Linked DNA regions of Yarrowia lipolytica. The protein of the gene in region 2 binds, or shares a complex with, the protein of the main gene of each other region. Links are inferred from orthologs where the notes say so. Each region holds a gene or a part of one and is shown on either strand. Other genes may lie near its edges. The genes, in order: YALI1_B12427g and YALI1_F28943g.

The links.
Region 1: the proteins of YALI1_F28943g (region 2) and YALI1_B12427g are in contact, whole or in part, in a crystal structure (PDB 4A8J), measured with the Saccharomyces cerevisiae proteins. The link is inferred for Yarrowia lipolytica from reciprocal best matches to the Saccharomyces cerevisiae genes ELP4 and IKI1. Residues at the interface, in NP_015224.1 of Saccharomyces cerevisiae: Thr115, Thr116, His293, Pro294, Pro299, Phe302, Glu303, Ser304, Ser332, Ile335, Thr337, Leu340, Gln359, Thr362, Glu363, Glu366; in NP_012057.3 of Saccharomyces cerevisiae: Ala2, Ser3, Ser4, Glu115, Thr118, Asn151, Asn152, Asn153, Tyr154, Pro155, Thr159, Leu160, Phe163, Lys209, Ser212, Gly213, Arg214, Ser215, Leu216, Glu217, Tyr218.

The regions. Positions count from the first base shown.
Region 1 is NC_090771.1:1,240,932-1,244,270, reverse strand, and holds YALI1_B12427g (uncharacterized protein), read right to left. Parts: upstream 1,519-3,339; coding exon 643-1,518; downstream 1-642. Other genes in the region: YALI1_B12443g (uncharacterized protein), read left to right, coding at 1-298; YALI1_B12409g (uncharacterized protein), read right to left, coding at 2,155-3,339. UniProt on the Saccharomyces cerevisiae protein: Component of the elongator complex which is required for multiple tRNA modifications, including mcm5U (5-methoxycarbonylmethyl uridine), mcm5s2U (5-methoxycarbonylmethyl-2-thiouridine), and ncm5U (5-carbamoylmethyl uridine).
Region 2 is NC_090775.1:2,892,166-2,896,006, reverse strand, and holds YALI1_F28943g (uncharacterized protein), read right to left. Parts: upstream 1,680-3,841; coding exon 540-1,679; downstream 1-539. Other genes in the region: YALI1_F28934g (uncharacterized protein), read right to left, coding at 2,188-2,240, 2,339-2,537; YALI1_F28915g (uncharacterized protein), read right to left, coding at 2,991-3,841. UniProt on the Saccharomyces cerevisiae protein: Component of the elongator complex, a multiprotein complex which is required for multiple tRNA modifications, including mcm5U (5-methoxycarbonylmethyl uridine), mcm5s2U (5-methoxycarbonylmethyl-2-thiouridine), and ncm5U (5-carbamoylmethyl uridine).

The DNA.
Region 1 (3,339 bases), on a different chromosome or scaffold from region 2:
GCGACTCAAGCTTTCAGGCTGGTCCCAGACCGACATTGATCAGTACACGGGCCCCAGTGAAAGTGTGGCTTTGAGACTGGCGCGAAACCTCAAGATTGAGCTGGGCTCCACCTATGCTCTTTCCGAGACCGGATGGGCCGGCCCGACTGGAGACGCCGTGGGAACCGGGTTTGTGGCTGTGGTCGGACCCAGTGGATCCAAGAGCATGACTTTTTCGACAGGCAGTAACGACCGAGCTCAGAACATGGAGGAGTTTGCGTTCCGAGCGCTGCAGTTTTTGCTCGACCAATTGAAGTAGCAACCAGACGAGTGGAGGGTGTGTTAGCCATGGGAGTGTATAGCACGACTGTGGCTATTCCGAACGCCGAGGCCGTATTGCTACGAGAGCTACCCACTGTGAGTTACATCCTGTCACTATCTACAATGGCACCATTGATGTGATAGACATTAATACGATTTATGACTTGTACTGTACTCGGCACGGCTATCAGTAGGTCCCCATTCGACCCTGTGGTGTTCTTGTAAAACCGCACACTATTCTGGTGCAATTCTTGTGATTGTAGTTGGTGAAATACTTCACACACAACACCAACTGCGATAAATGTATATTAACATGATACAGTGCAATAAATAACTTTTCCCTTAGAAGGGATCTTCATAAGGATCTTCTTCGTCGTAATCATCGTCCTTTTCGTACTGGTAAACAATGGCTCCTCCTTGGACTCCTCCATCTCCGTACTTTTGACTCTCCAGAAACGGCAGTTCCACCTTATCCTTGGCCTGCTGGTTTCGAGTGGAAGTTGTCAGGTTAAACGTGGTCAGATCCTTGAGCAGATCTGCCTCGTTTTCTTGCTGCTGCGCCTTGTTAGGGGCAATGGCTACTGCATGAGACGAGTTGTCTACAGTGTATGTAGCAATGACCGAGCGTCCCGATTTGCGTCTGTAATCCAGCTGCACCTCAAATTTCGGCGAATTGCAGCCCATAGGGATGTCCCAGGCCGAAATCCGGTTACTGTGTTGTTCCAAAACATGAGGCATGACGTCTGGTCTGCTCAGAGGACCAACAGTAAGAATACTGGTGGCAAAGTAGTTGAGAAGCGACAGAGTCGAGGGGTAACAGGAGCTCGAAGAGTCACTTTTCGACCGGATATCGCCGTGGTAGACGCAAACGACTGTTGTATGCTTGCTGATCAAACTGAAGAGCAGCTGGAACAGCTCTTGTTCTGGAATGAAAGCCAGGGTGTCGAAGATGATGAGAGTCTGGGACGTCCCCGTCAGCTGGACAATCTTTTGCTTGAGCTCGGCGACCTTTTCGTGTCCCGAAATCTCGTGGTTGACCCGTTTATCAACCGTCAATGTCTCGTAGTTGACGTACAGAACATTGGTTGATTCAGGTGCGTGGTGGAGGAATTCGCTGATCAAGCGAGATGCTGACTGTTCCACGCTATCAATAATCACCGTGAACGCCGAGCTGTCCTTCAACGCGAGAATCCGGGGCAGGAGTAGCGAAGGGTGCATTTTTGGTGAGAATACACTTTCAAAAAAAAACGGTCTTGATATGCATGGTGCAACTTTATCGTGGTGTATAGTGGTGGTCAAAGATGGAACGGAGAAGGTAAAGGTAGTGGATTGGTTAGTGTTTCATAAGTTCAAGGGGGTTAGAATTTTGATCCAAGTGAATTGATGTAATTAATTCTTCCATACCTTGAGTATATACTCATATTGACTCGATAGCCCAGTTCTTTAAATTACTTGAAATTAGTTGAACTCTTAAGATTATAGTTAAAGTAAAGCTAAGTAAAAGGAGTCAATATTATAATAGCTAGAATGCGCTACAGAAGAGGTATTTGAAATCCGAGAGCTCTGAAACGGTCCCCAATGTCACTAAATATATCATTCATGTTACACAATATCTTGTCAGAGTCTAGTAGTCACAGTCTAGTCTTGCATCTTCTCAGACTCCAAGGCGAAATCATAACCTTACCTGTAGAAGCCAGTCATCACGGACATTGTTATACCATTGAATCACATTCCTGGTTCGGACAGCTAATACAAGGGACTTCAAAAATGAGTCCATTTGCGAATGCTCCAGGCTCATTAAGTATAATGTCTATTACTTCACTGCGTAATTTACATAGAGGCATTCCTGTCCTCTTACATATCCGAGGGATAGTAGAAGAAGGCAATGGCGGCAATAAAGTAGGTGCCGAGCAACATGACTCCCTCAAGCCAGTTGGACTCTCCGTCCTGCAGCAGGTAGTTGCAGACAAAGACTCCGACGAAGAGGACGGCAGTCTCAAAGGTGGAGAAGTACAGAGACATGGGCTGGTCGATGATCCAGCCGAGAATGACCAGGAAGGGGGTGAGGAAAAGGGCAATCTGCAGAGAGGAGCCGATAGCCACTCCGATAGCCAGATCCATCTTATCCTTGATAGCCACAACCACGGCAGTCACGTGCTCGGCGGCGTTACCGACAATGGGCAGCAGAATCAGACCGATGAAGGTCTTGGAGAGTCCGGAAGAAGCCACAATGTCGTCGATGGACTCGACGAGGTAGTCGGCGCAGAAAGAGACCATTACGGTGATGACAACCAGGGCAAAGATTGACTCCCAGGGAGTCAGGGTGGAGCCCTCGTGCTCGTCCTCTCCCTCGGTAGCGTCAACGGCCTCGCTCTCAGCGTCCTCAAACAGACCGCTGTGGGATCCGAGCTGAAAGTAGAGGAAAAGAGTGTAGATGGAGAGAATGACGATGGAGGTTCCTCGAGACACAGCTAGGGTGGGGTCGACAACCGAAGGGTCGGTATCCTCTCCGGGCTTTCCAGAGTTGGGCAGAGAGGCGTGGAAGGCAGCGGGGATAAGCAGCGAGGTGACTCCGAGGGCGAGAAGAGAGGACATGGTCTGGGCCACGGTCATGTTGAACTTCTGCTGGACTCGTCCCCATCCTCCGGCAACGAAGCAGCATCCCAGCACCAGCAGCATGTTGGACAGAATGGATCCAAGCATGGAGGCCTGGACAATTCGGATCTGGCCCTGGTAGAGGGCGATCACGGATACAATGAGCTCGACGGCGTTTCCAAAGGTGGCATTGAGCAGACCTCCGAGAGTCTGGCCGACCTTGGCAGACAGCTCTTCAGTAGCAAACGACAGCAGGGCGGCAAGGGGGACAATGGCGAGGAAGTTGAGAGAGAAGGTCCAGGTGGCGCCCCATCCGAGAATTCCGGAGAGCAGGCCGAGGGGCACGAAAATCAGCAGAATATTGACATATGACGAGCCCAGCACGATGCGCACCTTTTGCACGTAGGTGTGGTCCGAGGGCTGGAGCCGTCGGCCAATGAGAGG
Region 2 (3,841 bases):
GTTTACAAGTAGCTAAGAGGGAGGGTAAGGCGTTGAGGCGACGATAGTCGAAGTGTCGTACTTGTTCGTACATTATAGCCCGTTCCTGGGAAAACCATTCTTGGAAACGAACAACACCGAGACAACGTACGCAGAACGAGACGGGCGATAAGCTCCCATCCTGGGGCTCTACAATAGTCAGGACTCTATTCACTGGATCTAAATTGTAACTGTCCTACAAGTATCGTAACTGTCCTTGCAAGTTTTGACACTGTCTCGACCGGGACAGTATCTACAGTAACGACTAAAGAGTGCAAGGAGTGACGCAACGTGCAAGGGTCAGTTTTTTAAATATAGAGAAACTGGTTGTGTTTGAAGGATATGCGTTTGGCCTGTATAGCACTACCCTGTTCCTTGAAATGCTGAAGTGCCTTGAAAGATGCTCCTCAAACACCCCTCACTTGGGCTCAATTCAAGTTTGAATAAACTGGCCCATTTTAGTCTGACTCTCAAGGAAGCTAGGCTATCATTATTGTCGAATATTGCCATATTCCATCTGCTTAAAAGGCTAAGGCATCCTCCTTCTTCTCTCCGTCATCCTCCTCAACAGGGATACTCCACTCGTCAATCTCAAAAGTCCGTTTCGTCACTCGGAAGGCATACTCGCTCTGAGTAACAAGCATGTGACCTCTGTCAGACAGGCATGGCAGCTTAGAAACATTCACCAGGCCCTGGAACTCTCGCTCCTGCACTTTGACGTCAAAAGGGAAGAAATCAAGCACGCAGTCAGCCAGAAGTTCCATCCATCGAGTCAAAGGAGACGATTTGGGGTACAGAACCAGAGGCAGAGACACGATAATGACAAGATGTCTCTTGTACTCTCTAGTGAGGGCCCTGAGCTGTGTGAAAAGGCCAATAACGTAATCTGAATCAGCCATCTGCTTATCATAAATAGCAGGATGAAGGAAGGTGGGAATGCATACTCGCAGAATCGAGTTCTCGGAAGCCGCGGCGGATGCGAGCTTTTTGATTTCGGGAACAATCGACTTATCTGGTTTCAAGTATCTAATCTTTGAGATCTCTGGACCACCCAGTCTCTTAGTTAGATCGAAAGTGGCTGTGTTGTTCTCTGCAAGCTGCTCTTTTCGCTCCACCTCACTGTTATAGCCGTATCTCCAGGCAATCTTCATTGCTCCAGAGCCAGCCTTGGAGCTGGGATCACGGGACCTGCTCTTCTTGTCGCTCTCTCCTGGCAATTGTCGTCCCCATGCATCATTAGCTCCTACCACCGCCACCTCAGACCCGCCATTCCTTCGATCAATGCACCCCTGTGCTGCAAACATTCTTATCAGAATGCTGGCATAATCTGTAGTCGATTCTTCCTCTAGCAGAGTCAGAGTACCGGTAGGAATGCCGTTATGACCGACGAGTTTGTCGAAATCGAAGCATCCAGACGACACGGTCGGCGTACTGGACTGCAAAAGTGAAGGTTTTGTGTTTGGGACGGGTTGAACAGCGTGTGTCACACCAGAGGTCCCCCGGGCATCTGTGGAACCTGTAAAGGGAGCCCTGGGGCTTCTACCTTGGACGCTTGGGTGAGACGAATTGGCTGGAGGACCTCTGAGAGGATGGGGATTACCGGAGTTGCGATCTACGGCCGCCCGGTTCGGAACAGCAACGTTTTTCTTCTGAAAAGACATGATTGTGTCAAGCTAGAGTCTGTGTTGCGGAGGGCGTGTACAAGTTGTAACGAAAAAGGTGCATCGAGAGGCATGCATGCTGGAAGCTTATTTCCTATAATGGAGGTTGGACATGGACATGGACATGTGTGTGATATTCCGGATATTGAGTGTGTCGAATCATAATGGGAATTTTGAACCTAGTTTTTTCTTGTTTGTATTTATATCTCGAAATTAATTTCTTTTGGCTTGAGTTGAAAGTGCCGTGTTTCGCGATTCCCACCTCTTTCAATGGTCACAGGATAAAATCATTGGTATTATTCGATTTGTCTCGTCCAGGGCTTTCATTTGGTAAGCTGTTTGGTGGTATTCTATATATATTTGTGTTAGATTTCCTGCTATGGCCTTCATCATGCTCAATGCACGTCACCCATCTTCGATACAGACCCATCCACATGACTTGTAGTTTGGGTGCAGTACCACGTCTTCCATAAAATCAATATCATTTTCGTCTATATGTACATTTTGATTACTGCTTGGCCTGCTTGGTCTTCAGCTCGTTTTCCAGGGAAGTGATTGTGTCTGTGTTAGTTTGATCTGACTGGATGTGATGTGGTCATTGAAGGAGATGGGGAATCAAATCAACACAAAATGCGCCAGTCCCTTCAATAAATACTTACGGGCATAAGATCTTCGTCGCTCGTCGGTCTCCAGACGCCACCAGATGAAATGCATGGTTGTGTAGATGGCGGAGGCGAGGAAGAAGGTGGAGGTGAGAGGTTTGGAAAACTGGCCAAGAGTGGGCTTTTCTGTCGAGTATCGTCGGAAGCCGATGTGTTGCTTAAGGCCAAATGTTCGTTGAACAGCAGGTCGGATCATGGTGTGTAGAGTGTTGTGTGGTGTTGGACGCTCTGGATTGGAGCTGATGGATTTCGTGATGGTGGTTGAACTTTATTTAGCGAAGTTATGTATACTGGTAGGTGGATTTGGAAGGTCTAAAATGTAACAATTTGGAATAATTGGAGAGTCATGGAAAATAATGAAGACTCTTCGTCGCCATGCATCGGTTTTAAATTTTATTATGGGAAAACTGATGTTTATATGTGGAGCTATAACCAGCGTTGTAGATGTGCAATTTGTTGAACATTCCAAGTAACTAAGGATATCCCAATTAGGTATATACTTGTACTTTAATTATTTTTGGGAGCGTCATTTGTCGAACATACTCTCTGCTTCATACACGACATTACATGCTATTTACTCATCAACTACAGTTCAACATAACCAACCAAAAATACACAATAAAATACCCTTACACAAACATCAATCAACCTACTCTGAAGGGTCTCTTCTCTTGATCTTGAACCCCTTGTACATGCCGTCAGTGAGCAACCACCATCCTGAACCAATGAGAACGATGCACACAACAGCAGTGATGATACCCGCACCGGCTCGGTCACCAGGTCCAATAGTTAGTGGCGCAGCAATGGTGTTGGCATAAGGAGACTCAAATACAGTGCCGGCCGATCCGTTACCCTTGGAGTCTCCTCCAGTGATATCAGCCAGTGGACCTTCCGAGCTCATGATTTGGGTGTTGAGAATAGCACCCAGAACTGAGAGTTGTTCTCCCAGACCGATGTATTGGTCGTCGTACTTGCCTGTCAGCCAGTCCAAAGAGCAGGTGTGGCCATCTCGTCCACCAGAACAGGTTCTAGCTCCTGCCATGGCACTAGGAACAAGATACTTCATGATCTCAGGGGCCAAATCAGGCACTAGCTGAGCAGTCTGACCGAGAAGACTCGAATAGATGCCCTTGAAGGTTCTCTGATCGGCATCACAGGTAATTGTAGCCTGTTGACAGGCGATTTCACGCATAATGTTGCCTTCAGGACCCCCAAAGAAGTGCAGAGGAGAGACGGCAGTGTTGAAAATACCTCTGACTCGTTGCCCCCACTTTTCCGAACCTGTTCCATTTCTCAGGAGCGTTCCGTTGTACAAGGCAGCGGCTCCGTGCATGAAGATTCCAGAGTTGTAGGTCCAAATGTACGGAGTTCGGTTGGTACAGTTGGGCACGTTACCGGAACCTGTCTCGATACCATCGTACACCTCGTATTGTTTTGTCACGAGATCCACAGCCTCGGCCCAGTTCCAGATCTTGTCACACCACTCCAGATACGTCTCAT